4 linked regions of the Arabidopsis thaliana genome follow. The protein of the gene in region 4 interacts with the protein of the main gene of each other region in a pairwise test. Each region holds a gene or a part of one and is shown on either strand. Other genes may lie near its edges.

Region 1 (8,286 bases), on a different chromosome or scaffold from region 4:
AAAAACTATACATTCGCATATGTATATGCTTAATTGGTTTTAAACCTCAGGATGCAGATTACCCGTTCATCATCAAGTACCTTCATCTTCTTCTTCGTGTTGTTGTTGTTTTATGTTAATGGTGAGAATATATATAGAGCTGGTGAAGCTTATAAAAATAGTAATGGTGCAAAAGAATTATACTTATTCCGAAGGTTTAATGCTTCTGGAACAAATACTCACACAGAAAGACAATATCTTTAGTTGTCCATGGTTTCTTATATGTTCTCATATTTATCTCTAGACTCTAGTTCAGCATATAGATAGACCAATATAAAAATATATGATATAACATGTACGGTTGACGTGGCTAGTGTCTAAGGTTGCCACTATATGTATTCATGAATAATTCAAGAACAAATCGAATAGTATCTCTATTGTTTTTAGAAATTTAACTAAAATTTTTACATGAAACGTGTGGAGAGTGTTTTTCCGCATCCACATAAAGGAGACGGATTGTGAGAGATCAAATCATGAGAAATTGATTCTTTGTAGTTTGTTCTTTAGGAGCCAATGATGGCACCTTCTTAAATTTATTTTTTACTTTGTACCTTTTTAATATACAAATAGTTTTTTGAAAAAATTATTTGACTGCTTTTATATTCTTCTCTCGGCTCATTACATGAACCTCTTCTCAATTATTGAATTTCATATAATTCAAAACATATTTGCTAATACAGTTTATGTTTACATCTTATTCTATATAGACATAATCCAAGAATATAAACAAAAATGGTGTAAACAAACAAAAAGGCTGAGAAATGGTTAGGATCGGAGAATAAATTCTACAAAGAAAAAGATTTACTTTTTTCCCATGAGAGGGAAAGGTTATGTATATATATATATATATATATATATATATATCTTTCTTGTTTTCCAAAAGCAAATGGAAAGTTATTTGAAGCAACAAAAGCACAATTTTATTTTCAATACTTTTGCTCTCATGTGATCTTCAAAAGCCAACGTATTAGTACACACTGAACATTAAACCGAACTCATTTGTTTTGTGTGTTTGAAATCGGCTCAAACTTCTTTTATGAGTAGAAGAATTCAACAATGTTGAGCGGATCGGAGTCAAAACTGCATCCGACTCAAAAAGATAACTCAAATAGTCTGAAATATTTCAAGGTTTAGGGTTTGAAAACATGTTGTTTAGTCAATGTTTACTATCAAGTAAAACAAGATAGTTCAAAATATAATATCAACGATCAATGATAAACATCTTAATCGCGTTCTTCAACGATAATTGTGACATACATAAAAAAAAAAAAAGCACCATGTTTTGAATCATGCCAAAATATTAAAACAATGATAGATGCCTTTTATATTTCACCAAGACATAGACAACTCTAAAGTCTAACCCATGTTTTTAACATTGGTTATTGAATCCAATTTCATTTCTTAAAAAGATAACATTTGTGAAAGTAAGCAAACAACAAAAAAAGAAGAAGAAACATTCTAATATACACATCATATGCATTTCAATTCCCCCATATCTTCTTATACATACCCAAACGTCAAACATATTTTTTCCTTTCCACACAAATAATCTCAACCTACAAAATCATGTAGAAACTGATGATTACTACCACCAATAAAATCTCTCCCAAACTGACGATTTTGCCCTTCATACCCACCACCACCATCGCCACTACCACCATCAAGCCCAAACCTCTGAGCAGTTGTCATCGGAAAAGGCTCCGGTAACCCAATCTGATGATGAAGCCCTAACGTCAAAGACACTCCTCCGTTTGTGCTGCTATTCATCACCGGCACATTCGACGACCCAATTCCATACGAGAAACCAACCGCACTACCGCCGCCGCTCCCACTGTTTACATAGCTGTTGTTGTTGTTTGTGCCATGAACGTCGTCGTTTCGTGCCCGTCTAGGCGGAGATGAGTTGTTAGGTCTTTGCTGTGCCGAGGACGAAGATGGGTTGTTGTTGCTGTTGTCAGGGAAGACGGTGGTGCTAGTACGTTCGTCTCTCCAAGAGGAAGAAGAAGATCTCTGAGATTGTCGAGTCTCCAGCATGTGAATCTCTTCCACCATCGGCTTCCAAACCCTAACTCTTGCGTTTATGAACCAATTCGATACCTAAAATAACATTTTACCATAATAAATTAATAACCCTCAAGCGATAGAAAATCCCTAAATTATTCATTATCACCAACGGATAAATTTTCAAAAACAAAAGTGTAACACTTATTCAAACCTAATAAACCAAATTATAACATAGTTACTATACTAATGATATATGTGAAAAGATTTAAAACATATAATTATTGTCCGACAACAGAAACTCATTTCATAAAAGCATATATTTATCTATGTGACTATGTGCATGCTTAATTAGCAAGAAATTTGTTAAATTGTGAACAAGAAAAGATGGAAAGAGAAAAAAGAAGAAGACTGAAGATATCAGAAGTGAAACCTGATTTCTGGAGAGACCTGTCTGCTTAGCCAGCATGAGTTTGTCTGTATCTGTTGGATAACTGCAACAAAAGACACAGACAACAACAATTTAATATATCATTGTATATACTAACATACACATATATATAGACACATAATTACGCTTGCAACACGACATCTCCAAGTTTGGGAAACAAACAAGCAGTCGACATGTCCCATCTAAAACATACTTCCAAGTAAAAATACACTTCGATACACACATATTTATTCACACTGACACACACATATAAAGCTATTGTTCACAAGCATATATATACAATTTGGTTCATGATCAATTAAACGTTTGCATTTAGTTTAATCAATTGTTGGAACCAAGTTCAAACTCGAATCCAACAACTTTCAAAAGCATTTATATGGCGAGAAGGGTTACTTACGGATGCAAGAAATGATCGAAGAGCCAAGCCCTTAGAACAGTAACAGCACGTTCGGGTAGGCCACGGTGCGGTCTCCAAACAGGAGCATGATGATCAGGAAATCCATGTCTTTGACCAGCAGAACATAAGCCTCTAGAACTATCACTTCCTCCAAATCTTAAAGAATCAGTCTTATTCTCAGAGTTCATCGGATGACCACATTGTTGTTGTTGTTGGATCTTGTTGTTGTGGCTGAATTGAAGCTGGTCCGTTATAGCATTCTTCAAACACTTGAAATGCTTAGACAATGCTTTCAAGGCTAAGTTAGCGTACGGAGCAGCGTGCCCGAGACCTGCAACGCATTCGAATGATCCCATCACAGCTTGTAGCTGCTCATAGTATTGCTTATACCTCTTGTAAACCTTCAAAACGTCACATGGAAATGTTTTTAGATTCCCCCACTTACATAATAAAATGGGTGATTATAAATTTATACATTATTTCCTCACTCAAAAAGTATGTTATATACCTCGGAATAAACTAATTAAAATCTTTAAGTCCCTAGCTTTAAGATCATATAATGCATATATTCCTTTCATAAAGAAGACGTTCTCTTTTTATCACTTAATGTTTATACCCCTAAGATTTGAAGAATCTAATTCACAAATTCAGATCAAGAGCTAAGGAAGCTCTATATAAAGTTACTTCCTCAAGATAATATTATCCTTACTTTAGTATAACCTTAAAATTCTATTAAAAATCAGCATGAAGATGGCAAGCTTGTAATTTATATAATGTATTAAAATGGACGCTATAACATCATCTATTCATGCAAAACGTAGGGAACATTAATTTAATTAACATATGGTATTATAATGAATTAAATAAAATATCATATAATTTTAAAATGGCTTTGAAGGAGTTTCATTTTCCAAGGAAGATCTTTTTAAGAGACATATCATTTAACACATTTTGTCTCCAATTCCAAAGGACACCGACCAAAAACTGTGAACATTTAACACAATAATTCACATACTTGTAAGAAAGTATAGACAATAATTAAAGAAAATTTACAGATTTCAATAATTTAAAGAGATTAGAATTGATCATGTTATTGTATACCTCGTCGAGCATGGAGATGAGTTTTGATTTTTTCTTTCCATTATCTCCTCCGCCGCCATCAGAAACACCGCAGAGATTCTCAACCGTCGGATCAAAAAGCAGAGAAGAATCATCGTCGTCGATGACTTTGTCGGTGTAAATCCCACGACCCACATTACAAAACTCATCAAGAAGCATCTGTGCTGGTTTCAAGAACCTTGATCCTTTAAGAATCGACGCGTAGCCCGTGAAAGGTCCGAGAGGACCAGAGCTTCTAGACGCGATGGTGACGGCGGCGGCGTTGGCTTCACCGGCAGATCTACAGAATCCGGAGTTAACAACACCGGGAACGACTAGATCGTAAGCGAGTCTAGGGTGAGAGGACAAAGATAGAGATAGAGGCTCGGGTTTGAAGACAAGAACGTCTCCGGAAGAAAGTCCGGCGTTAAAGGAATGATCTCCGGCGACGGCGACTGCGGTGGATGAAGAAGAAGAAGGGCCACCGAGAAATCCCATGAAATTACTGTAGCTAGGGTTAGATATGTGGTTGTTGTTGTTGTTGGAGTGAAAGCCACCGGCTGCGAGGAAATCGGAATCAGCGAGAGGAAAGACGCCACCTCCGCCGCCGGAGGAAGGAGGAGGAGGAGGGTGAAAGTGGAAGTGGGAATCGAGAGATGGAATACGAAGTTTGTCTCGCCGGCTTTGTTGAAGAACATGATAAGGCTCGTATGCATCAGCCATGGGAAAGGATGATGTCGATGAGATGCAGAAGAAGAAGAAGAAGAAGAAGAGAGAGAGAGAGTAACAGTGTAAGAGATAATGGCGAAACGAGAGGTTAAGAGAGAGAGAAGCTCTTTTGGTGTCTTTTTGAAGCACGATCAATATGTATATCAAATTTTTCTTTATATGACATATTTTGAAAACCTAAAATATAAAATATCTAATGTTTATAAGACTTGGAGGAATTTAGTATGAGCATTACAAATTTGGTCAAGATTCATCTTTTTGGTGTTTGTTACTAAAGCCAATTCAATGCTCTCTCATAGGTCATCCGTAGAATGGTGAATTAAGTTTAATGATTGCGTGGGATTTTAGTATTTTATATGGTTCTGTGAAATCGTGATTTAGTATTTACGTTATTACACGATTTCGTAAAACTGAAATTGAAAAGACATATTCTTTCTTGAATCATTTTTTCGTCTTAGCGTCCTACAATTTTTTTGTCATTTTTCACTACCTGTTTTGTAGTTTTCTCTTATTTTTGTTACATTTCGTTTTAGTCACACAACTGTTAAAAGTTAATCGTATATATACTGAAGTCCTAAAAATAAATCTCATTATTTTTTTTTAAAACGGGTATTTCAAACGATGGATACATAGTAACTCGATATACTTTCCTCATCATGCAAACAAATTCGATCTTTATAATATATATATATATATAAAATACTGATGAAAATCTTTAACAAAAAAAAATACTGATGAAAAGTGAAAAGTCCCGGGTTTGGTGGGAGAGGCTTTGGGGAATCAAGAGAAGGCGACCGGCTGTAACCGGTGACACTGGAACTGGTTCTTGTACAAAGTGTTCTGTGTCTCAGTCTTTCACATACGTACTGACATTTCTACAACTTTTAAGTCTTCTTTTTGTCGTTTTTCTTCTTTTCTTTTGCTGGAATAAATACCTTTTTACGCTTAAAATATTTAGTCACTCTATTTTTATTCGACAATCATACATTCACACTAATCTCCATAGTTGTAGGCTTGTAGCTATAGTACTAAAAGTAGGGATATCAAAATGGATAACCCAACTCTACTCAACTTATAATCAAATGAGTTTAAGAATAAATGAGTTATGGGTTGACCCAACTCATTTTGTTAAATGTGTTGGGTCAACCTATAACTCATTTAATTTAATGGTTTGAGATGTTAACCCATTTAAGTAATAATTTAATTAATTATTATTATAAAACAATAATAAATAATTATCATTATTAATTCATTATCATCAAACTTAAGATATTTACGGATTTTATTTTTTACAGGTTTACGTTTTAGGTACGGAAAATCACGGATTTACGTTTTGACAGGAAAATTATAGTTTTTTACGTTTTTGGCCGGAAAATGATGGGTTTACGTTTTTGGCTGGAAAATTTCGGGTTTAAGCTTTTCGGCGAAAAAATCTCGGATTTACGTTTTTGGCGGGAAAATCACGGATTTACGTTTTTGACGGAAAAATCATGGGTTTACGTTTTGGGCGAAAAAATAACGGATTTACGTTTTTGGCGGGAAAATCTCGGGTTTACGTTTTTGGCGGGAAAATCACGGGTTTACGTTTTTGGCGGGAAAATCACGGGTTTACATTTTTGGCGGGAAAATCACGGGTTTACGTTTTTGGTGGGAAAATTACGGGTTTACGTTTTTGGCGGGAAAATTAAGGGTTTACGTTTTTGGCGGGAAAATCACGGGTTTACGTTTTTGGCGAGAAAATCACGGGTTTATGTTTTTTGGTGGAAAAATTACGAATTTATTTTTTCTCAATTTCATCGCTTGTATATTTAAGAAATTTGGAAAAATATTAATTTTATTAAATTTGTTTAGATGTGTTGGTTAAACTTAAATTGGCATTGGTTTAGAGATTTTAGTTGGTTTAATTCAATTTTATAAAATTTGATGGGTTAATTGGGTAAACCATTGAAACCATTAACCATTACAACCCAACTCATTTTACTCATCAAACCAATTGACTCATTAACCCATTTGACTCATCAACTCATTTGAGTCAAAATTTTCAACTCATTAGGGTTCATGGGTTGAGTTGAGTTGAGTTGACCCATGAATTTTGACCTATTTTGACATCCCTAACTCAAAGCATGGATGGTATGGTATGACCCGTAAGATTATACATTGAGAACAATCAAATTCTGCAGTTCATATTATATAATTAGAGAAATCACAAAGATTTAAAAAGATGCCTAGATTAATTATGTTAACAAATTTATAGTCCATAAATTAATCAAAATTGTTGTGAATTGTGATCAACCATATTTTATTATAACTAGAACAATCACAATGATTAAAAAAGATGCATAGATTAATTATTGTATATAACATATTTATAGTCCCTAAATTAATCAAAATTGATGTGAATTCTTATCAACCATATATTTTATGTGTTGGATTACATACGTCTGTGAGAGTTATTTGTAATAATTTAAAAACCTAATAAATAATTTGTCACAAAAACAAAAGCGAATACCTTTGCAAAAAATATGTTATAAGATATGCCAGAATATGATTAAACCGGGAAAGTAATTTCGACTGTACTGTAATAATCGTGTTTGAAATAATCATTAGAGGATATTTCCGTTTGCATGGGAAATAATGGGACGTAAATCATTTGAAAAAATGTGTTTCGAATACTAAGCAATACTTTGCGTTACAATATTTTATATTATATAAAAGTATTTCCTCTTTTGGCTAAGATGGACCACAAAAATTGAAAAAGAACCAAGGCACTCCAATAAAGTATTACAGTAAATTAAAGTGCACGTAATTATTAGTTCTTCTCTTCTCTTCTTTTTTTTTTCTTTTTTCTTTTTACATTGCATCACGGGTAACCACACGAAAACATTTTTAAGCAATCGCTCCTTTTTCACCTTCTTGGCTGAACATAAAATAGTATATAACCCAAAAAAAAATTACATATATTTTTCATTATCTGCCTCTATAGATGTAATGCGCGCTTAGATTTGCGACTCTAATTTTAGTAAATTCATAATAATTGTATCATTTCAATTTTCTAGGTTTTTTTTCTTAAATGTTAGTATATTGCACAAAAATAACTTCATGGGGGAGCCCTAGTTACAAAAATAATGGGGATGGTTTGGAATTTTATTAAAACAACATGGATGTGTAAGGCTTGAAACCCAAGTGGTGAGAATTGTCTGGCTGATCGAGATTTTGCAGTGATAAGGGTTGTAGAAAGATTTTGTCATGTGATGTTGCTTTTTCATCCAAAGGCGAGTGTATGTATATTGAGTTAGAGGTGAGGATTAAAATGATGTTGAAGATAAGAAACCATCCCTTATTTATTTGTTGTGGGATATTCATAATATGCCCCCAAGTTCTCAAACGGCCTCGAGACAGCATTCTAATCCAAATAAGGATCCGTGTTTCAGAATCGTGCCAATCAACTTCATGAGGAAGAGGATGTTATAAGGAACAGAAGATAAAATATGTGAAAACGAATCAAGAACTTAATTTCATAAACGAATAAACGATGATCCGGTTTCTTGAGGTAGAAGTGTCCTCAAGAGAG
Region 2 (7,628 bases), on a different chromosome or scaffold from region 4:
CAGTAAGTATGTTATGATCGATTAATTTGAGTTAAACGAAGTAGTGTATCATATATAGTATATCACTATCAGATTTATAGAGGCCTAATCGTACATTATTCAGTTGGTTATAGCTAGCGATATCTCTTGATTGGAGAATAGGAATGGAACTTTGACCGATATTGAATACCTAGTCTTCAAGGATTCTACAATATAATTATGATGATTTGGTAAATTTAATTGGGTTATGATAATGAAGGCACTCATATTAAATAATCAGGTCACTAACCTCTTTAGACTTATTGTGGCCAACAATAGGAAAGTAGTCTCCTTTCAACTTTTTCTCCAATCCCACCATTTCCATGAACAATTTTTTTAATTAAAAGCATTAAGAGATATTTGCATTAATTAAATGATGGATAAATCAATTGTTGTTATGGTATTTTACTATTTTTATTTATTTGTAATTGATACAATCTAATTTTGAAACTCAAGCTAATCTCTATTTAAACCGGTTTTTATTGTTGCTTTTTATTTAAAGCATTCACGTTGGCTAAACAAATTAGTTAACTTTTAATCGTGTTATTTCTTTAGAGATTATATATAGTGATATACCAAACGCATTGGCTTCTCTTTTTTTTGATAAGGTACGTGTATCTAAATACACAAGATACAGCTTAAGGCACATCAAAAATTGAAAGGAGAAAGAAGATGGGTTTGTTGCCATTGGTGAAGAAACTAGGTTTCATCATCTTTCTTCTAGTTTCAGCTTCAGCGTTTGCTCTCTGTTCTGCAGGTTTGTTTCTTACTTTTTTTTCTCTCTCTCTATCTACATATTTATATTCCTTTGTTTGCAGCTTTTCTCTGCAACTTCATGTGCCTCCTACTGAGATCAGTCTTTTAGAAAGTAAGATAATAACATTAAGAGCTTGTGCTCTCCACATGTGTGTTAATGACGACTAAAGGAGAAAATTAACGACATAGTATGTTACGTTAGTGTTATTTGGATTGATTAATCTTGGATATAAAGAATAGACAAGCTTAAGTCTCTTTTTTTTTTCTTTTTTGTAGGCCGATCATCCATTTTAATCTATAGCCAAGAAGATGATCATCCCGAGGTATTCGTTTTAACTCCAAAAAAAGTTGCCAACTACCGTGCGTTGTATATCTTTACTTAGTAAAAAACCGAACAAATTGATAATCAAGATCGTAGTTATATGATTTCAAGAACAATTTTGTACGTTGGTGAATACATTCTATTTGTGGACAGGTAGTAGAAAGAAGAATACATGAGCATGAGAGAATTCTGAGAATGAATTCAAGAGACTATGGCCACTCCAGTCCTAAACCAAAGCTCGTGAGACCTCCTTTCAAGCTTATTCCCAACTGATCATGCATATCACCGATCGACTATATATAGATGCCAGACTTTCTGAGATGTATAATATATGTAAACCTAAATACTAACACTGCAATAAGTTTGAATGATAATCATATATATAAGTTTCAAGATATGTTTTCTAGTAAATTAATGATTAGATAGTGCTCTTTGCTATCATGCAGAATGTAAATTTGGTGAATAGTCATCATTAGATGAATATTACAATTTATCTGATAGAATCCTTATGATCAAAATTAATATTGAAATATTCGATTAATTCTGAAAACGGATACAGATTGTATATGTGCCAGACAAAAAAAAAGAGAAGAGAATTGGGAACGTTGCAGTTTCGTAGATGTGATAAGATAATAAGTCTACAGTGTAATGTCCATCTCTTGCAGATCTCAAATTGCATTTACCATATTCTGTTTGGTCCCAATGACCTAACCTCACTTATATTCTTGTACAAAAGAATGTTTACTTTATACAAATATTTCTAAAACTTTTTCTTCTGACCAACATTCTTCCACTACAGAATTGAGACTGATCATAAGTTCATCACACCTATGCTTTATTCCTCTCCATTGCTTACTTCTTCAAGCTACAAAATCATGTACCAATTGTGAAGAATTTATCCGGTTCTGGCGACTTCCGGGGTTTACATACTCCATTTCATCTCCCGGGATGGCATTCTCGTAAATATCCACCCCGGAAAAGTTGTTGTATGCCTCACTAGACATAGCCACAACATTGTCCTGTCCTTGAGAGTTTTGAAGCCCTAGAGTCAAGGACACATCACCACGACCCAATCTTGACGTATCAGCCACATGATATGTAGGCTCAACTGCCATGAACCGGCGACCATCCATATGACTGCCTTGGACCATGCCACGAGTTTCCTCGCCATATCCATGTCCATGGTCCGGTTTGGTCTGGTCTTGTGAAAACTCTCGAGCTCGATCTTCATCATCAGCAGCAACAGGTCCTATCTCAGACATTTTCGGTGTATTTTCGGAAGACGAGTTGGAATCATTCTCTGTGAATTCCTCCTTGTATATCTCCTCCACCATTGGCTTCCATAAACGCACTCGTGCATTTATGAACCAGTTTGAAACCTTTTACAAACATAAAACACACAACAATCAATAAATAAACTATACTATGAAGAGAAAGAAACAATCTTCAAATAAAACATTCCTTACCTGACCGCGGCTCAAGCCCGTTTGTCTTGCTAGCATGATCTTATCAGAATCCTTTGGGTAACTATTCATGTTTTCAAACAGTAATCATCACTATTTATGAAGAAAATGTGTGGAGATAAGATTCAAGGGAGACTTACGGGTGAAGAAAATGCTCAAAGAGCCAAGCACGGAGAATCAAAACAGAGTTTTCAGGTAGACCGCGTTGAGGTCTCCAAGCTTGAGGTTGCATAAAACCTCTTTGTTGTCTTAAATGTTGATCAACGTACTTAAGCCGGCTTATAATCCCAACTCTTTTCCCATCTGATCCATCTTGTTGTTCCCCAAGGCATTTACGTAGCACGAGGATTTGTCCGGATATCGCATCCCTTAGGCTACGAAAATGGCGAGAAATTGTTTGAAGGGCGAGTGCTGTGTATGGCTTAGCTGCTCCATAACCAGCTATCACATCGAACGAGGATACAACTATCTGCATCTGCTGGTAATATTGCTTATATCTTCTATCCACCTTTACCAAAATCAAGAAATATCTCATTTTCTTAAATATTCAACATATCCTATATATACCAAATGTAACAACATTATGGCTGCAATTTATTTAAATGTATGCTTTTTTGCATTTAAAATATTATAACAAAAGGCCTATAAAAGGTAACCATCACATGATCAAATTAAGAAGATTAGGTCTCAAGTTATTACCTCATCCAACATTGACAAGAGTTTTGTCAACTTGCTCTGCATTTCTTGTCTCTCCGACTGAGAGATGTCCGCAGGAGGATTCGTGCTCGAGTCTTGAGTGCTCTGATTCGGTTCTTGAGGGTTCTCATTGTTTTTATCTCCCTCTGCCTGAAACTGCTTTAGAGCTTTCTTTACATTAACAGCCTCATCTAGAAGCTGTTGAGCCGCCTTAAGATACTTTGAGTTGGGAATTGTTCTCACAACATCCAAGTTCTGATTCCCGCCCGGAAAACTCTGTGTTGCATACTCATTGCCTCTCGGCGCCATATTTTGATGGCTTATCTGATGAATTCCTGGAAGAATCTGTGAACCAAGGCTAAGGGACAGTCCCTGACCGGTCTGAAGAATCCCCGTGGCACCTGCCATCGCGCTCATTAGCTGGAAACCGTTCCTGTCACTCGCTTGATCTCTCCAAGAACCGAAATCTTGACCAATGTTCTGCATTTGTGGAACTCCCCCAAATCTGGACAATGCTTGCCTCTCTTGTGAGGCTGAGACATTGTTAGCTTCAGTTCTTCTTTCTCTACCGGCTGATTCCTCAGAGTAAGAAACTATAGCATTCTGGATCATTGAATCTCCGGGAATAAACTGTGTTTCTGGATAATTCTCCATCGAAATGGAGTGTTCTTTTTGGCTCACTTGAGTTCCATAGTCCCTTGTTTTCTGATCAGGTCGTAAGAACTTAACCTTATGGAGGAAATGCTTGACATTAAAGACAGATTCAAAAACAATTGAAACAGAGCAGGATCCATATAATCAGTGTATTGCTAAGAAACATGTAAGATTTCAACATGTCTTGAATATATGGTTATGCATGCAATTATGGAGATGCAAGCCAAATCCATAGACAACAAAAAAAAAAGAAGAATTGTATAGAAATAAAAAGATTAGTAAATTACCTGGAAACCAAACTGCTACTTCTGATGGATTGTTGAAGGAGACAACAAAATCTTGAAAAGAATTAAAAATTAGAAAATGTGAAAGATTTTATTGATATCTTAAAAGAAAGAAATCAGAAGGTTACGCCTCTTTCTCTTGGTTGTGTTTTTTTTTTGGTATGAGATATAATTTGAATTCATCATCTCATCAATGTCACACGTGAAAGACCCATATCATACTCTCCCTCCTCCGGAAGAAAGAAAGAATGGAAAAAAAAAACTTTGAATTTCTTATTTAATAGTATATAATATGGTAATAAGAAAATCAAATAAAAACTTTATTTTGTTTTCTGAAGATATTGCTTCAGAAAGCCATAATCTGGTTGGTGCTTGAACCTCCTGCTTCTTGCTTATTGATTCCTGGAGTCAAGTCTTTGGTAAAGAGAAGAAAATTATTGTGAAAATGTTATATAAATGTATGGTTAAGGAGTTTCTATCTTTAACAACCAGTTGGTCGACCTAAACCCCTCTCTCTTCATCTTTCTCCCAATCCTAAACCTAATCTTAATCCCAATCCTTATCACTCTCTGTCTCTTAATTACACATTGATTAAATCAATATCCTCCATATAATCACATTTCTATTTTCTTTACTTAAGTTGAAAAGTACAAAGAATCAAAGATGCTACTAGCTTCTTGACATAAAGTCATCTTAAATTTAAATTTAAATTCGGAAGTGTTGAGTTATATAGTTTATTTTGCAAGTAAACAATAAAAATTTAGCAGATTAGTAGATCGTGGTGAATTTTGATTAAGTATATATATCACAACTTGTTTTTCTGATGAATAGGTCATTAACTTATCATTATAAACACATAACTAATGTTTATTATGTGAGTTTTGATTAAGAGTATTAGCTACTTTACTTTTTAAGTAAGCCAAGCCATGATTGTTTCTTCTTCCTTTTCTTTATATATTTCTTTCATACTTTTTTGGTATCTGATTATACATTCGTGGACTCTGGTCGTCCAGAGGCTATGCAACTATTAAAGAAATAAGGGTCCCAAAAAATAACAAACACAACTTTTTCTTCTTTTTTATTTTCATTTTGTAAACACCATAAGTGCTCGTTTTCCCCACTGAGTTTTGTCTTTTCCTGGAAACAACTTGTAGATATTTATGGATTAGTACTTTTTCTTTCAAATGCTTCTAAACTTAGCATTCACTTTCTTGTTTGACAGAAGTCTATATCCTAAGTCCTAAGTCCTAACTTGGTAACTACTATAATCTTTAAGACTAGGGTCCAATACTGATTAGAGGCTGAGAGAATCGTTAGTTCCATGGGCGAGACTTGAGAGCAACAACACAAAGATAATGAGAATGACTTAGATAGTGATAGGAAGTTGATCAGGGTGGATTTTTGAAGAAATATAAAGTATTAGGTGTAGAATGAAAATAGAGGTATAGCTGTCTGAATAGGGACAGATGTTGCAGCGAGAGGGTCAGAGCCAGAGATGCCGTAATAATACGAACAATGAACATCTCTGAAGGAAGAGAGAGAGAGAGAGAGAAAGAGAGAATCTAATGGGATACGAAGCGAGAGATTTTGTTGGCCCAATAGAGCTGTAATGTCCCAAAGACACATCCTTTTTTCCATAACTATAACATTTTTATTAGAAGACCAATTTAGTTTGAAATAGATTATTGTCTAGTTACTAGTCTCTTGCATGTGTTTTTAACACATATAGACGATACAAATACATTTTGGCAGATATTGAAACCAAAAAGACGGAACAAAATTTTGAAGAGAAGCAATATAAGAGTTTCAGACCTATATGAGAATAAGAACTAATTTCAAGATCAACGAGATTATATAACTACTACCATGTAGAAGTAAAGATATACATAAAAGGTAAGAACGAGGTTCTAATGTCCAAGATCATATTCAGGCAGATAACTTTTTTTTTTTTTTTTTTTGAGCAAATATGGGCCTAATTCCTTTTTTTAGCATACAATCCAGATATTGAGAATGAATCTTATTTTTGAAAATATGGGCCTCTTACCAAAGCCTATTTAGTCTAAAGTGAGAATTGTTAAATGTAAAAAGGCATGCTCATATTAAAGAATAAAAATTCACCAAACTCTGTTGCAGAAAAGTCTTAACCAACATAACATTAAACTGCTTTCACATAGAAAGCAAAAGTCTTAAACAACATTACATTAACTCCTTTCACATAAACAGAAAAGTCTTAAACAACATTACATAAACTCCTTTCACACAGACACAAAAGGCTCTTTCTTGCTCAACGCATCAACACTCTTAGTTCAAGATTTCACCTGTAATGGGTGAAACATGTTGGCTCGTAGACTTCTGCCCATTTTTCGAACCGACCACTACCATAGGCTTTGGTGGTATCAAACCGGCCCTGAAAAGCATGCTTTCCACTGTGTCTGTTGGTTGAGCTCCAACAGATAACCAGTACCTGCATTATTCGAGTACCATAGAGTGAAAATCAATTTCTTTCAACAGTTGCACAAAATAAAAAAGAAGTTTAGTTAGACACCAAGAACTGTGTGGATTTAGACTTTTAAACCAGTCTAATCAAATCAATCATACAAGCAAAACCAAGCCTCACAGAAAACTTGCACCAGATGAAATGCATTAGGTGTAGAAACAACCAAACATGACTGAGAGAAGCAAATGAATTAAGGATTGTAGCCTTATGCAAATAGAGTTTTGGACACAGAATCAACAGAAAGCATCTCAATTTGTCACAATCTAAGCAATTAGGCAGCATCATTGTGGCAAGAACAAGTTTATGACCTTGCAGAATACTAAAGAGAATGAATTAAGATGATTAAAAGACAAACAAGAAAACACATTCATGAGGAATAATCAATCATATGGATAATGTCGAGAAAGAGACTCTTTAGTGTTTCAGTCTTATCAAACAATCATGAGTTTCACATCTAACTGGTGTCCTAAAATACTTGACACAATTATACAAGCAAACAGGAATATGAAGATGATAGAACAAGTAAAAAAAACATACTTGATTCTGTCGAATTTGAGGCTCACTCTATCCGCATCTTCTTTGCCTGAAGACGTACAAGTAGATTCATGATAGCAGAGACATTAGGAAGTGTTCAATTTTACTGAGAATTGAGAAATGTATATAGAGGAGAAATAACGAACCTTGGAGTGGATCATAAAAGCCTAACACCTCGATTTGTTTACCGTCCCTGCGCGATTTTTCATCGGCGACAACTACACGATAGAAGGGTCGGTGTTTACAACCAAGACGCGCGAGCCTTATCTTCACCGTCATCTCTGCTTGGAAATTGAGGTCTGAGAAGTGAGAAGAAAGAAGATAAGTAAAGGTTTTTATTTAAGCTGGTGGGTTTTGGCTTTTTCCCCTTATCTGTGTTCTCTTTCTTCTGTTACGATCGTTAT
Region 3 (7,327 bases), on a different chromosome or scaffold from region 4:
ATGATCTGCAATTGATTGTACGTGCGCATGAATGCGTGATGGACGGATTTGAGCGTTTTGCCCAAGGTCATTTGATAACGCTCTTTTCGGCAACAAATTATTGTGGTATGTTTATGGAACCGAGAACTCACTCCTAAGCTGGTAATAAGACCTGATCTGATAGTTTCTGACAAAAAATGATCTATATTTATTCCTTCTCAGGTACCGCAAACAATGCCGGGGCTATCTTGGTGTTGGGGAGAGATCTTGTGGTGGTTCCTAAGCTTATCCATCCATTGCCTCCAGCGATAACCTCACCTGAAACTTCACCAGAAAGACATATAGAGGATACATGGATGCAGGTTTTTATCTCAAACAGATACTAATGCCTTCCTTTTTCCACCTGGAAAATGGCGTAACTAAGCATTGATATTTTGCAGGAGTTAAACGTAAATAGACCACCAACACCAACAAGAGGACGCCCACAAAATCCAAATGACCGCGGCTCTCTTGCTTGGATATAAACCCTACAGAAAGAGTGACGAGTGCGAGATAACATACCTCTCCCGAGTCCTGACAGCCGCCTCTAGGTGATCCTCATGTTGTGTACAGAACCAACCAAACCATTCAATTATCGATTGCTATTTACCAACGAGATGGATCAATGAGGGTTTTGAGTTATCGAAGAATTTCACAGGTTAAGTTCATTCAAGTCAGATGATGAAAGGGTAAAGAATTTGTAGTAGTAGTGAGGAGGAAGAGTATTTGTTTTGTAAAAGGGGTTTTCTCATTTTTATTCATATATTTGATTTTCTTCACTTTGCTTTTTTTCTTAGTATTGATTATATATGTGGTATTGGACTTTTGGTGAGGGACACAAACAGGAGAGTGAGTAGGAGGAGGATTTTAGAGGTTGTTTTAGTTTTGGGGTATTTATGTATCATAGAGAGGTGTGTTTGGTCGTTTGTATAATGTCTTCATTCATATTTTTCAGTATGTAATTTGTAGCAACGGTTTGTGTGTTTAATGATACAGAAAATATTCTCTCCCATTTTTTCTATCATATTCTTATTTTACCATCATTTTTAAAACATTTCTGTATTTTGTTAGTTTGTAAAATAAAAAATAAAAAATTGGATATGGAAGACAAACAAAAAATCAACTCAAATAAATAAATCCATAACTTCTTGGTAGCCAATTAACTTGTGGTTAGGTCACTAAGATGATCATGTAAAACAACAAAATAATAATTATAGCTAATATATATTCATTGTTTTGTGGAACAAATTTTAGAAAAAAGACAGAAGAGGTGGGAGATTAAGTTAGGGTTTTTGGGGACATACACACACACACACACACATACACGTTCATAAAGTCACAACTATTAGCTAATATGGATCTCACGGTTGATCTGATCTTCATTTACACTCATACGTAACAATACTAACTAAAACCTGACTATCGAAAACCATATATATTTCTTTAGCTTAGTATTGTTATCTACATTTTTATCATAACCTTTACTTAATCATCTCCTCTCTATCAATCTACACACATCAACCCATACGAAACCATCCAAGGGCCAAAACTATACACAGAATATACGTAAGCAACAAGCAGAAAATATATCATCCCCACTAATTATTTCTAATCCATGATTTGATAAGTTGAAGATGAATATATGGCCGAGTTCTCAGTTCCATGACTTGTTGACTCAAAATGAATGTTATTAAAGGTTTGGTCACAAGAATGAGGCAGGCCGAGGGAAAGGGAGACGCTGTTTCCATCCATTGTGTGATAGTTTTCGAACCCTCCGTTGAAATTGATGAAGTTCGCTTGATTCATGTGTTGCTTCGTGAACCTCATGACTACGCTGCAACTTGAGGATGAATTTTGCCTAGGGGTTTCAGTTTCAGTGAATCCTTGACGAAAGGCGGGTAGGATCGTGTTCGAAGATTCATTTGAAGTTGTATTATTGTACGGTTGCTTTGAAGATGAACCTTTGGTACTATACCGGTCACTTCCTTTTCTGCTTTCTTCAATATCCATTTCTTCCGAATAAAGTTCCTCCACCAGTGGCTTCCACATTCGAACTCGAGCATTAATGAACCAATTTGACACCTACATCCATTTTACACAAGATACTATTAACAATACTTATTTTGATTATATATAATCATGGGTGCTAAAAGAAAGTATTCCATAATATATATAATTACTAATTTAACCAAAATAAATTTGATTTACTTTACAAAGGATCACATATATGATATTTCTCGTATGCTATCATCGCTATTTTCATTAAAATAATTATAATAAAATAAATATACATCATCTATCTAAATAAATTTACCAAAATATATTTGGTTTACCTGCTTTTCTTAGAATTCTTGGGTACGTTTTTGTTTTCAGACTCGAAAAGAAAAAAAAATAGAAATAAAGAGATATCTTTCTAAAAATATTTTTTTGATCGGAATAAAATTTGTTTGAATCTATATATATATTCGGTTTTACCTGTAGATTATTTATTCTTGATAGTCGGTGTTAGATGATGTCATGAAATTGTATATGTACTATGTATGAGACATCTAACATTAAGAAACTTAAGTATGTCCAACTTCTGATAATCGAAATCAATTACCTGACTCTTAGTAAGGCCAGTCTGTTTGGCAAGCATTACCTTATCCAAATCCCTCGGATATCTATACAAACCAAAACAAGACACAACTAAATCATTAGCATGCATGTCTATACAAAACTAAGTAATGATCCTAGCTTCCATATCCTTAGTTAGTTCCCTTTGCTTCAAGGTCCCATCATTCTGATATATCGACAATAATCGTAACAAGAATTAAAGATAGAAGAAAACGTTACTTACGGATGAAGAAAATGCTCAAAGAGCCAAGAGCGTAGAACGGAAACAGCTTTTTCGGGCAAACCTCTCTGCGGTCTCCAAGCATTTGAATGGTGATGTGCCATCTTTCCCAACTTCTTAAGCTGCTCGTCAAATTCCTTTTGTCCCAAGAGCTTGTTTATTTGCTTGATTTGCAAACTTATCATGTCTTTTACAGCACGAAACTGCTTTGATATTGTTTGTAACGCCATATGTGTGTATGAGTTTGCTGAGCCTAAACCCGCAGCTTGCTCAAACGATGAGATTATAGTCTGCATTTGGTCATGGTATTGCTTGTATCTCTGTTCCACCTGTGTATAATTTACCAAATTCATTTCCCAAATCAATTTACCAATCTTTGAAACCTTTATAAAGTATCAAATACTTAACATGCAATAACCAAATATATGGACTGAACTTGAGTCCCGATCTCAAAGTAACAGAAAGTTTATTGCCATTATATATATCACCATGGTTGGTTTGTATATACAAAGATCTTATTATTATTATTTGTGTATCACATATTATATAGGTAGGTATAAATAAGTTACCATTTCACCCATGGAGATGAGTTTTGCTTTCTTCATTTGCAAAGCAGCTACGCCAGGCTTATAGCCACCATTGATGTCCTCAACTCCATAAATCGTGGACTCTTTACTCACCGGTCGCTCTTGTTTTGCGCCGTGGCTACCGTTTCCAACATTGACAATCTCATTGAGTAATTCTTGAGCCGCTTTCAAGTAGATCGGAGCCAAAGCCCTGAAGACTCCTCCGTTTGAAAAAGTGGAGATGGAAGAATTTCCTTGTTCTATATGACCTACTTCATCTCGAGGTCTATATTGTTGGGAACCAAAGCACAAGTTGTAGAAGTGATCGTCATGAGCATTAGTGGTCGTTGTCTGCTCGCGAAACGGATTCAGAGTCATCATAAAAAGATCAGAAGAGTGTTCTCTCATTTCAGATTCTCCAAGAAAGAAAGCAGCCATTATTCTGACAATTAAGCAACAAAACTTGCAATTCAAGAAAATATCAAATTATAATATAAATCGATCTAAAACATTAATAATATCCAAGAGCTTAGGAAGAAAAGGTAAGCAAAAGATGATGAAATAAAGATGTGACAAATCAAGAAAATTAAATTACCGTTTTTATTTAATAATTAGAAATGATGAGCAGCAAATTATGGGTGTGAGTTTCTCATTGTCTTCTTCGACGTGTCTTTCTCTCTGCTTGCGATGATCATCTAAATATCCTCTGCTTCATTGATCTGTCAACTAGAAAGTCCAATAAGTCGCCTTTATAAATAAAATGTGATTGGACTTTTCATAAATGGGAAAAATATGTACTTTTTTCTTTTATATCTCATTGGACAACTAAACAGTGACACTCACGATTAATATTTTTCTTGTGATGTTTCGAAGTTCAATGGATTTTGACCAATCACCAATTCTAGCATACATGATATATGCACGGCATGCTACTGCTACATATCCAATATTTCTCACTTGCATCTTAGGCACGATTCACACCCAATATCCAACCTAGCTAAAAAATTTCAATGTGGTCGCAAATGTAGATCTACGAGACAATCTATCTAAGAATAAGTATAGCTACCATATATATATTTTTACGATCACACTTCTATCATTGTCATTCGTTTTACCATTTGTATACTATAGGTGAAATAAGATTTTAATTAATGGTTGTTGACGAGAAAAATATATTACAGATGGTAGTATTGTCTTATCATTTGATGTCCGCACGTTTAATATTTGGCAACGCATCTATATGATCCCTACATGAATAACTTAGTAGGTCAACATTTATTATTAGTATATTGTATTATTATTACTAAATTAAAATCTACAATGAATCTATGTATATGTGTATAGTTAAATGTATGTGAAAAGATAATAGAAGTGGGTCAGCAGAACCATGGAGATAGTTGAAGAACGAGGAAACGTCTACTTCCACTCCACACATCAAAAGTCTTCTTTTATGTATTTAGATAACCATATTAGTTTGCGACAAGTCACTCTTTTTCTTCTTTTCCACAACTAAACAACTAATTAACTGTATTGCAATGCAAATCTATGTTTAAAAATTTATCAGCCAAAATAAATAAAGTTTATTTGCCTGGTTCCGCCTTTATCTTCAAAATTTCCCTATTCCTTTCATATAGTTTTCTAAATCATATTTTCTCTTATGTTTTCTTTGTGTTGTCAGTACTTGTGTTTGAAGATAGTAATGGTACATTGGAAAATAGACCACATGGTCCACAATTCCCGGAAATTCATTACTCTTCGAATTAAGCATCCATCCATAGTTAAAACACATTTTGACATAGTAATGTATCTAGAAAATAATTTCGAATACTAATATAAAATTTGGATTTTATTAATAGATTACATTTAGACATTATTTTTTGGTGATGCCATTATCTGCCTGTATTCCTCGGAAAGCTTCCCATCACACACCGAAATAAAGCTAGACGTATCTTAATTGATATCGCGATATGTGTTGAGATCAATTTTTTTTCTATTATTGAATGTGATAATAACTATTTAGTTTGGTGGATTGAGACTGTGTATGAGAATTCATCGTGTCGGTCAGATCCAAGTTGTATTTATATCTTTCACTTTATGATAATAGTATTTTTCCTTTTTAGATCAATTAAGTATAATGCGACATTGCTATTTATTTACATTCGTGGATTTGTGTCAATTCGCCATTCGTCCCGAGAGTAAGTAACTGTAAAAACAAATAAGAAAAAGACAATGCAATACAACTTTAAAAAAGTGTGTTATAAAAGTTTAACTAGGATGAGGAAAGAAAGAAAAGTGAAGTGAAACAAACTGTATGTTAAAAGCCGAAACTAAATCCAGATTATATTTATAATATTTCTAATCGTCTTGAAAACAGCTTAGCAAACTATACGTTCTTTTTACTGTTTGGTTTTCAGCTGTTTAATGTTTGTTCGAATTTTTAAAAACGGCTTAGCAAACTATACGTTCTTTGTATAGACCAAGTGAATTTTTAGCTAGGTAATAAAAATGAGTTTTGAATATATTTAAAATTTTGATCTAGAGAATAATTTTATGCTTTTGTTTTCTCTGAAAGCTTATGACCTTTAGAATAAATTTCAAAACCAAAGTTTCTTTGATGATATTTGTGGTTGGTCCACAAAATATAGCACTAAAACTCAACTTTGGACACGATAACATTGAAAACATATTCTGTTGATTATATCATAAGGTAAGTGAAACAAAATACTGATGGGATATTAAGGGAATGACTTGGACATTCCACTAGGGTATTGAAAAAGTTGGGTTAGCATGAATTAATCTAAAGCCATGTTGGAATCAGAGAATGACAAGTGTATTCTTTACTTTGTCAAAACCATCATAACTGATCAAAGATCATCATTAAAACGTTAAGATTGAGTTATAAAGCTAATTAAAGCTTAAATTACTAATTAAAAGCGCCATTAGAGCAACGTAAAAAATAAAGTAAAAAGAAGTAGGTCTGAAAAAAGTAGCCATCTCGTGTGGACTGCATTATCATGCAACTTCTAATCTTAGTTAGCCATTATGGAAACAATTCATTACTTTGTCATCTTATAAGAACCTTTTGCGTATTGACTTATTGTTACTCAAATGATGTTTTAAGAGATTGAACATGATTCTTTTTAATCACTTGTCGTTTGCAAAACTTGAAGAGGTAAAATCTTTCTATAGTATTTTGCTCCTACTCTAATATTGTACGGTCACCCGACTGTGATAGAATCAATCCCAGACTCGTGGCTATCTCTAGATAAACTTTTTTTCCAAAATGACCATCTACTTGACACATTGCCCGAACTCAACTTTTTTCGTCATAGTCTCTAACCTCATAGTCTAATTGACACATCTACTTAGATTCTTTCCAAGCCCTAAACTCTTTCACAACGAAATTTATTTGATATCTAGTGAATCTAAACACTACTTCATTCCAAAATTTCTATAAAAACTGCATCACCAATGGGAATATTATGACCCTGTTATTACTTTTAATTTTAATTTGCATTACTTTTAATTTCATGCATTAGTTATCAAACTGGTCAATGACGATCCATGACCTATGGAATCTCTATTGTGAGGTAATTGATTGTGTCATCTGATAACGAGATATTGTCAGATAATCTCTAAGTTCCTCAAAGATCAAATCAACCAATCTTATAAAGTATGTCCCACGCAAAATGTGAGTAGTCATCTACTTATTGAGAAAATATAAAAATCAATGTTTTAAACATAAAAATCCTAAAACAAATCAATTTTCATGAAACAGATAAATATTCAAATACCCTTATAATTTTCACAGATTTTGACATTTTTTCTTTTTTTTTTTGAATATTCGGAAGTTTAATCCCGAAGATACAACGACTTCCAAAGAGATGGGATTCACATCAGGTTAATT
Region 4 (9,997 bases):
GTTCGTTCGAGCATTTTACTACCGTTCTCCGTCGCGATCGGGAATTTACCGGGTGCTTTCCGGTGAAAGTCACAGGAGAGACGATACCGAGTAGAGCCGCCATTTTTTGGCCGTTGGTTCACACGATCATGTTGTTTTGTTCCGATTACTCGGATTGGATAAAAGTCTGGTTTCAGTTTAATATTGGGCCGATTTTAGGCCCAATAAGGATAATTTGAAACCCACCCCAAAATTTAAACAGAGATGGTTGGATTATGGGCACAAGGTTCCAATTGCTAGATAGCTAAACTTTTGGCTACAATTAGCAAAATGTACATGATGATTAAACTGTCAATAAAAGAATGTGTTTAATTTAGTGTGATTTACACAAATAACAAGATATTTTATAATTATTTTTGAAAAACACATAGTTAATAAACAAATCTAACCTATCTAAGTATTTTGTTTGTTCAACGTTTTGCCAATAAGAGGGTAAAAGCTATATCACGAGAGGTCCGGAGAAGACAAAAGAGGTTATTTTTATTCACCGATAATAATAGTTACAAAGCATTTTGACTTGTTCCTTCTACTACATGTGAGTGAGTGTAAGATCCATTTCATGTGTCGTCCATGCTTCACTCTTTCTTTCTTTTTTTCCTTTGTCGGCAAAGCAAGGCAGAATTATACATCCATCTTTTAATCAACGTTAAATAAGTACCATAAATAAATTCATTCCTCGGTAAAGAATGATCCACTAGAATCATCCATCATAGCGAAAGGCATATTCTCTGATGGCTTCCAATGACGTTTCCTTTGGTTTATAAACCAATTGTTGATTTGTTTTTGGTCTAACCCCGTTGCATCAGCTAATGCTATCTTATCTCCTTCCTGTGTACACACACATTCATACCACCCATTTATATATAAGTGTAGTGGTTAGTTATGTCGGAAAACATGCAAGTGTTGCTTTTGCTTACAGTAGGGTAAGGCCACTTATAATGGAGATTCCACCAATCAAGAAGAGCTTGTCTTGCTTCTCTTGGTAACTTTCCTTTCTTCTTCTTCTTTGAGAACTCAAGCTTTAAAGTACTAATACGGCTTCCAAATTTGCGTAGCAACCTATCTTTGAGGTCCCGGTCTTCACATCTTTGTCTCCCATCCTCTGCTACCTCATGATCACCTCCACTCAGTTCCTCGTCAGATGATATTACACCATCCTCTGTTACACCAAATTCACAAGAATTATCACTATACAAAGACATCAAAGACAGAGAATGGTTATAGGTTATAGCAAGTAAATGTAACAGAATTATCACTATTCACTACCATGAAAAAGTTTAAATGGGCTTTCTCGGCTAAAACGGCTAAGTGGCTAAAGAGGGCAAAAAAGGGAAAGAAGAAAGAGTGGTAAGGGGTAGAGAATATCGAGGACGCACACGATTGAGTGCAGCAGTCAAAAAACCGCCGCAGTGAATAGTTACCTCCATTGTCATTTGTCAGGAGAGGACTAATAGTCTTGTCCCCATGAGGAGACATCCCCCCTTAGGCCTACTAATTACCCAATCTCAATATGACACGTGTAAATACCATTTAGAGGTTGTGTGAACCCCCGGAAATAACGCTACACCTCTCATTTATGTTCTCCACGATACCCCAAAACTCAATTTCCTTTTCTCTCTCTCTTTCTTTAATGTATTTGGACATTTATATATATGCCCCAACGACTCTACTGACCCACTTACCCAGCTTCTCTGACACCAAAACTCAACCCAAAGACGATTCAAGAACATTACCTGATTTTACAATAGTTTTGCCTATGTGACAGAATATATAGTCGGACCAAGCAACCGTGCTTAGTCAAAATATTTAGTCAGTCACACAAAATACTGGACTACATAATATATACACGCAATTTCAGTCAGTTTATAAACATATATTAAAAAAAGTTAAAAGATTTCTACAACAGCCAAGGTAATTTCAGTCAATTTATAATTCACGCAATTCAGTCAGTTTTATAAACATATTATAAAAGTTAAAAGATTTCTACAGCAGCCACAGTAATTATGAAGGAAATAGAGATGTTAAATAGGCCAATAAAAATATACTAAAATGCATAAAACATGAACTGATCATATATTATAGAGACCATTACGTTCACATTACACACATATGAGTAGTTAGGGTAACAGTTTAATGGCAAAAAACGATAGTTTGTATGGTTGGGATTATTATTTACATTTTCAGCAATGCATTGACTGCTTTGAAAATAGGGTTCACTGAAGAAGGTAACATGCAAGTAGACACGTGCTAGTAGCGTGCCTCAGAGAGACATAATACGACCCACCAAGGGAACAACGCAACCAGAGGGCATGGCAAAAGAGTTGAGAAAGATAGAGAAGAAGCATAGTCGCAGTCTTATAGATGATTTGATTGTGGTGTGTAGAGAACCCTATGTCTCCTTTTTTTTTTAATAACCAAATCAAAAATAAAATCTTAGGAGAGAAAGTTGGTGGGGTCATTAGCGGAATCCACGGGAGTCCATGTGACTTTTCCACCTTTTACTTTATAACAAAAACCAAAAGAACCTCTAATTCAAGCTAATCATGCACTATGTTCCTATTCTTCTCGTTGCAGTATTCTTATCTTCTAGATCAAATATGCAAACATGTAACATTGATGATATTGCATGCAACAAGACAAATGTTGACTATAAAAGTCAATAAGAGACCATCCACTCTAAGTAGCAAGATAACCACGCATTAGAAGAAAAGAATGTGTTGCTTTTTTAGCTAGTCCAAAGAAGGGCTTTCGCTAAGTTGCATTACCGTATCACAACAACCAAGAAGTGAGAAATCAAAAGTCTATGTGATCAACTTGTATTACTAAATCAGATCAACATGAAAGAAACCAAGCATGTGATTGAACTGAGAAACTAGTAGATAACATCGCATCCCATGTGAATATTGTCTAACAATTGTAAGCTTCTTTTTTCTTTATTAGTTTATGATTTCATTCAGGTGAAAGAAAAAGATGGTTAAATAAAGCACACAACCAAAGAAAAAAAAAACAGATGAGATCATTCAAAAAGGCAAGTTGTACTTTGAACAAATTTTAAAATTATTAATCATAAACATTCGTCCATTATGGAAAACCTGCATCGATCTATTTTCAACTTTTCCAGTTGATACTCTATGCTAACTCTCGATTAGTTTATAAAGATAAGCTGATATGTTTTTATATATCAGCAGCTTTTTTCCCCCAATAAACAATATTACCAAAGTACAAGTGGAACCTGCATTTGAGATCGACCACGATAATGGAAAACTCCTGCAAAGCTGAAAAAAAGTCTACCAATCTATGGAGTTTCATTTCTTTACAGCTAACTCTTTCAGCTGGAGTTTTTCTTCTATTTTATTGTATTAAAAAAAAAACTCCTAAGGATCAGTATTTCTAGCTAACCTGATCGGTTGATTTGTTATGGCCACAATGTTTTTGCTAGTTGTAGTACAATATGTGGTCTAAAGAGATAATATCAGTAAACCACAAAGAAAGTCACTTATTTGAAGCATTTCATTCATGTATAAGCATAAAACCTAGACTTTTAAATCGCTTCAAAATTGAGTCAGTTTTGGTTTATTACTTACATATAAGTCCAACAAGACTCCAACAAGAACATGCAGATAAGAGTGGCCACTTGGCAATGATACTATTTCCGATGATCAACAAAAATCTCCCTACTCTTGTTCTCAGATCATTGAAACTTGAAATAGACCAAAGTTACGTTCTTCATAATAAATGTCGAATTCAGGATTAAATTTTTATTTCACAAAGAATGTCGTTTTGTAGACTTCTATATTAAATTTAAAATACAATTTTAACTTTATTGTTTTAACCTATTTAATTAGATAGAAAAATTATATGGTGTGTTATTAAGATATAACAGAAATTTAATCGTAAAATTATCTAAACACGCTTATTAATTCCGATCCAGAGAATCTGTGAATGAGCTTAAAGAGGAATTACAGCTAATAACTCTTATGGCTTATTGGTTATTAATAATCATCTGACCAAAAGAAGTTGAAGTCTTAGAAAAACTGGTAACCTAATAAGGTTGTTACCCATAAACAAGAGTGAAGCGACTTATGAGTTATGACTAGTACTTATACTTACTTATTGTTAAACGAGAAGTGAAGCAAAAGAAGCTCATGAAAAATCAACTACACATATTGTTAAAAAGTTATGACTAGGTTTTTCTGTCAATTGGTTTTTCACTAGAAAAAAGCAACAAGTTGAAAAAACATTCAGTACGCAACAAGCCTCTGAAACGTCAAAATCAGAATCTCTACCACAAAAGTTTATTGCTTTCTACACCATTTTCTTTCTGACAGAGAAAGAAGAGAAAAAGATATAAAGTAAAATTTGTATGATTAGCACAAAGATCAACAACAAGAAGAAGAGGAAATCCCCACCACACTCCAACACCCTAATCCCATGGCTAAAACATTAAATGAACGAGTAAAATAATTGCACAACACCTTAAACAGATCTTTGTCTCCAGAGTTTCAACGTGCCCAAAAGAAAAGCACACACAAAACAAAACCCATCAAGGGAAAAATAGCTATGGAAATGAAACTTGTAGCTAGGGTTTATCTTCTTTTTTTTCATTTTTTATCTATTTTGCTTTCTGATCACTTCAAAAGCCTAGGGTTATTCTATCAACAAGCTACCAATCATTTTTCAGAAACTGGTCATATGAATCAAAACCCTATGGAAATATCGAGGAAAGGATATTATTAATGAAAAACCACGGAAAAGATCAAAAGAAATCATTCAGAACTAACCACAAAATAGAACCACTAAAAGACCGAACCAGAGAGGGATAATTTAAGACATACCAGAAACTCCCCTGGCAGACTCGACACCAGTACATAGGTTCCGTAGCTGCATCTCAATCTTGTTCAAGAAACACGTTGCCTCGTCAAACGGTCTTGCTAGATCCGATTTGTATTTCACTAATATATCGCAGTACGTTTCCTGATAATAAATTATCTTCTTAAGTACAAAAATTTCCAAAAAAAAATATTTTAACAAAAATAAAAATCCGAAAAAAAATCGAGGGAAAAAAAGAGAGAGACCATAAATTCATCAAGCTCAGGATCAGCTCCAAAGCAAGAAGAAGGAACAACCTCTTGCTTATAAACATCACTCTCCCGTTGAATCTCCTCTAGTAAACACGCTATCTCCGGTGGTGCTCCGACCTGTTTCTAAATTATGAAATTGTTAAACCATAAAATTATAAAAAAAACAATCAAATATCAAAGCTTCTCAATCTTATCTTTATCTTTAAAAAGTAAAACCTAGATTTTATCTAAGTGATAAAAAAAGAAAGAGTTAACGATCACCTTTTGGCAATCGATGTAAGCTTGAAGTAAGCGAGGATACGAAGGATGACAAGCGATTTTAGCTTTGATGACAGTTAGAGAAACGTTATCATCATTTCTTCGGATCTCCGGAGCGATCGAAGCCGCCTCCGACGACAAAGCGGAGACGGCTACTGAGAGTAGCTCGTCGGATCCGAAAACATCAGAGACACGATTTTCACCGGCGGAGGAACATAGCAAAGCTTGGTAATCGGAAGGAAACATGAGACTCTCCGGTGACATCATCAGAACCGACTTATCTGAATAATCACCGGCCGAATGGAAATTGTACATTCCATCCATAAGTATAAGATCTCCGGTAAGAACTCCTCCGTCTTCTAAATCGCTTTCTTGAATTGTCTTCTTGCAAAATCAAGAATCGATGAAGAAGAATAATATGAAACCGCTTATAACAAACTTTTTGGTTCTTGAAAATATTTATTTCTATGGGAGTGTGTAGAGAGAGAGAGAGGCTCGAGGGATCTTAATTTATTTTCTTTTGGAAGAAAAAAGATATGAAAGTTAACGGAGAAGAAAAATAAAATGATAATTACGAAAAAGGACATATGCTAAAAGGCTCAATGGAGCTTCAGGCTTCATAGGTCGAGATAAGGCCTTCCTAACATATATATCTAAGAAAGGTCCAAGGCTGTGTTATGATAGAATTTGCATGATCATGAGATTTTTAATATCAATGAAACATGGCGAGAAACAAAATTATATATTATTGAAAACGAAATGGAAAAAACGGAAAAAGTGTGATTATTTACCAGCATACTATGTCAGTTTATTTGAACTCTTTTTTTTCTCATCGACAATACACTTAGATGGTAACATAACTACTAGTACATATAACCACTAAACTACACGCAACTTATTTGAAAGCTCTGTGTAATTTTCTTTTCAAAAAGTATAGTTGATGACTTGATGTATATATTATAGGACCTATAGAAACAAATTGAGCATCTAACATAATGATTTGTATCAGTATCGGCATTGTATCGTTATCTTCATTCAAATATGATAATATGCATGTGTGAGCTGTAGACAGTTAAAAAAATAATCCCCAATGTATATATATTTTCGAAAAACTTTGTAGAAAATATATTTTTATTATGATCCTAAGAACATATATAGATACACCTACATAAATCGTTTATTTGATTGCAAATAGTGAAACAAGGTGAAAATGTTAAACAACAAGTGGAAAACCGAACAGAAGAAAGAAAACAAATGAAGTCGCATATCAGAAGATAATATAGTACTAATGATATTGAATCGAGTCAATTAGAAATAGATATTAGTTCAGTATATGAGAGATGTTTTGGGTATGTTGAATCGAATATATCAAACTGGAAAAACAAGAACTGGTTACAAACAACTAGTGAGCTGATACATACATATATATAGTTAAAGAGCGGTATTATTTTAATACTTGTCACTGTAAATTTGTTGCTAGATACAGAACAAAATTATCGAACACGACTACTAACAAAATGATAATCAACACATATATATTCAAATGATGGTATGAAATAAATCAAATGTGAAGAATATATGGATATGATAAGTGATTCTTAGTACCTACTACGTAGTAAGAAATTTTTTACCAACTCGGATGTTGGACACTTCGATTGTACGGGATGAAATGGGTTTCGAGAAGCGAAGGTCCGTTCCTAGATAGTAGATAAGAAGGCCCTAATGGAAAATCGTCTAATTAAGATTAAATTAGTATATAGTATCAGCTAGTGTTTACTTTAGAATAGTTCTGTATAAAGCAAGTTTGTGGATAAAACTAAGAATAAAATAAACGCTGGTCTAGGCGTATAGGAGCTGCAAAATCAATGGTCTTAGCTAATTTATGATTTATGAAATTTATGCCAAAATTGATGATGCTGATATTCATGATGACTTTAGCTTATGAAAATGAACTATGTAATTTATTCACAAAAATAGACATAAGCATAATTTGGTATATTTAATGATTTTACATATGTATTAAGTTTGAAATTATGAAATTGGCCGTAATTTAAAGAGAGTATCAAGAAAAAAACGAGCACTTTAACCAAAAAGAAAATAGAACGAGAGCATCTATAATATTTCGAATGGAACTATTCTTTTAGTTTTGTCGACAGCTTTTTACGTCTATCATATAATTTTCAATCAAGAAAGTGGCATGTTCTTTCATACTACTTTAATATAAACTTTGTTTCTGTTTTTATTTTTTTTCTCAAAGACTAGAGAAAGTCATTTTCATCTTAAAGGTACTTGCAAACTATTGGTTGCTCTAAATCACCTAACGTATCATAAATAATCAAGGGGAAATTAAGTTAAAGAAAGGAGACTTGAAATTAGATAAATATGAAGTCACAAAAGCGAAAACAATATATATATCACAAACGAGTTTGCCTTCTTATTATTGGCAAAGATCAGACGAAAATATGTTATTTATTTATTTAACATATTATTTGTTCACATATGCATATTCTTGGTGAGAAAAAACAATACAAATTTTTTCTGGAGACACAATCAAAATGTTCAATATTTTCTTTCTCTGGTTATCCATGCGATGCGCCACTTGGATGCTGATGTTGAGTATTGAGCTCAGGAAACTACGTGCGATGTTATATTCATTTTCCATCAACATATCTAGGCTTTGTGATTTGATAGATTCTTTTCATTTTTCTGTACCTATCTCCCTACCTATCTATATAATTGCAATAATCTATCACCAAATAATGTAAGACGACATAAATATATGTAACCCAATTATAAAGTTCGTCTACGTATTATACATGCAGCTAAAGTACTGAATTTATAATTCGGCTCGTGGTCCATTCTAATTGTGACCTAGGATCCAACAAATAAATTATTGAGGAAATTTACTAAGCCTCTCAACCATTTTTTAATAACTATGGAATTTTTCCAAACTAATCTCCAACGTTCATAGTGACCAGCCATGATTTTTTAGCCAATATTTATAGATTTGCAACCATATTTAATGAGTTTAGTGCTTCGAAACCTTGTTTCCATAATGTAAATCATCAACGGAAAAACAATAACAAGATTTATAAACCAATATTTTATCAAATATGTTCCTCTATTTTCTCTATTAAAAAAAAGTGTTAAAAGGGTCTTTTCGTTGATGGACAGGTTGATTGACCCATCCATTTTCGGGCCATGTTTGTTCGAAAATTATCTGACACAAAGTTACGGTTTCGTATGAATCCATATAAAAAACAAACACAGCTTTGGTCCCTCCATCCCATTCCCTTGGATCCCGACCGTTGATCCTCACCCAACTTTTATAAAATGTTAGGATTACTAGTTTATACCCATACCATCATCAGCTTGAACCACTTGTTAGTTGTTACACTTTTAATATTTGAATTGATAGTTATATCTGGTTATAGGTTTATAGCCGAGTAGCCGACTAGTCAAGTGTTTTACATCAAATAAAGGAGTGATCTAGGTTAGGTATATCGGTATTTAACCTGTTAATTTTAGAATTTTTATATTTATGTGGGTATTGTTTTGCAAAAACCCTTGATATCTTAGTTTTGGAATATGATGCATAACAAATAATCGATATTATTCCAGCAATGTTTGTAAGATATATAATTGATATGATTCGAGCAATGGTTGTATATGCCCATTCATAACTAATAAGAATCTGTTTTTTTTTTTTTTTGTTGATAAAACTATAAGAATCATTTGAAAATCTTTTGGTATAAAAGTTCGGAATCAGTGTTAATATCATAAAGAGAAATTGCGGGTTTATTTGAAAGAATTATATAATACCACTTGGACATGATTGAGCATAACAGAGTAATAATTGATCTCATTTATGTTAGGAGAAAAAAACCTCCCACTCAACAAAGTTGTTAAATGTGAACATACCTGCTATTATAGGAAGGGACAAAGTAACCCAGAATAGATATATCTGTGGTCTGTGGACCAAAAATCTTCTGGATTAGAAATCTGATTAGAGCACCAAATGTCTCGGTCTTTGTTGTTCATAATCAAGCCTTATATACACCATCACCTCCTGATGGACGTAAGCCAAAATTTGTTTCTAACTATATTTAAATAAATATTCAACCAATGTGTAAAGTATCAACTTTAGCCAATCCAAACGTGACAAGAAAAAACCAATCCAAATGCGGTACGTGGACAATCTGACAAACAATATGAATACATTTTCTTTGTGGTTTTATTAGCTCGAAAAAGATAAATAAATAGTATGTAATTCATGAGTGACTAATGACATATCTTTTCATGGAATATATGGGGGAATAAATCTAGTGAAATGCAGCTTAAGTAGCACGAACCATAATGTTATGCGTATTGAGTTATAGTAACCTTATGCTTTTTGGGTCAAGATAGGATATTAGTATATTACTAATAGTTTTACTTCTTCTTCAAGATTTCAGTGATGTAAAATGTTCAATATTAATTAAGTCGAGATCCGGTCTAAATATAGAGCATATAAACAATTGAGATACAAAAGGAAATCTCTTTTTAATATAAAAATAAATAAGGAAAGTTTAGAATATGTAACAAACTAACAAATGCACATAGGTGTTGTTTTAAATTAT

Evidence for each region.
Region 1: the proteins of KNAT6 (region 4) and RPL interact in binary tests that used the Arabidopsis thaliana proteins (3 or more experiments, as listed by UniProt).
Region 2: the proteins of KNAT6 (region 4) and BLH6 interact in binary tests that used the Arabidopsis thaliana proteins (3 or more experiments, as listed by UniProt).
Region 3: the proteins of KNAT6 (region 4) and BLH5 interact in binary tests that used the Arabidopsis thaliana proteins (3 or more experiments, as listed by UniProt).

The regions. Positions count from the first base shown.
Region 1 is NC_003076.8:392,177-400,462, reverse strand, and holds RPL (POX (plant homeobox) family protein), read right to left. Parts: upstream 4,897-8,286; 5' UTR 4,710-4,896; coding exon 3,990-4,709; intron 3,290-3,989; coding exon 2,889-3,289; intron 2,535-2,888; coding exon 2,474-2,534; intron 2,137-2,473; coding exon 1,591-2,136; 3' UTR 1,338-1,590; downstream 1-1,337.
Region 2 is NC_003075.7:16,528,590-16,536,217, forward strand, and holds BLH6 (BEL1-like homeodomain 6), read right to left. Parts: upstream 4,774-7,628; 5' UTR 4,197-4,773; exon of another isoform or gene 3,985-4,196; 5' UTR 3,910-3,984; coding exon 3,259-3,909; intron 3,068-3,258; coding exon 2,700-3,067; intron 2,624-2,699; coding exon 2,563-2,623; intron 2,476-2,562; coding exon 1,957-2,475; 3' UTR 1,757-1,956; downstream 1-1,756. Other genes in the region: AT4G34600 (uncharacterized protein), read left to right, coding at 691-775, 1,051-1,097, 1,250-1,369; SSR16 (small subunit ribosomal protein 16), read right to left, coding at 6,495-6,657, 7,228-7,273, 7,371-7,503.
Region 3 is NC_003071.7:11,635,680-11,643,006, forward strand, and holds BLH5 (BEL1-like homeodomain 5), read right to left. Parts: upstream 3,859-7,327; coding exon 3,424-3,858; intron 3,238-3,423; coding exon 2,858-3,237; intron 2,682-2,857; coding exon 2,621-2,681; intron 2,101-2,620; coding exon 1,627-2,100; 3' UTR 1,427-1,626; downstream 1-1,426. Other genes in the region: BSL3 (BRI1 suppressor 1 (BSU1)-like 3), read left to right, coding at 1-105, 202-341, 420-503.
Region 4 is NC_003070.9:8,296,791-8,306,787, forward strand, and holds KNAT6 (homeobox protein knotted-1-like 6), read right to left. Parts: upstream 5,811-9,997; 5' UTR 5,703-5,810; coding exon 5,382-5,702; intron 5,244-5,381; coding exon 5,115-5,243; intron 5,014-5,114; coding exon 4,875-5,013; intron 1,199-4,874; coding exon 957-1,198; intron 868-956; coding exon 709-867; 3' UTR 501-708; downstream 1-500. Other genes in the region: MENG (S-adenosyl-L-methionine-dependent methyltransferases superfamily protein), read right to left, coding at 1-103. UniProt on the Arabidopsis thaliana protein: Plays a role in meristem function. Contributes to the shoot apical meristem (SAM) maintenance and organ separation by controlling boundary establishment in embryo in a CUC1, CUC2 and STM-dependent manner.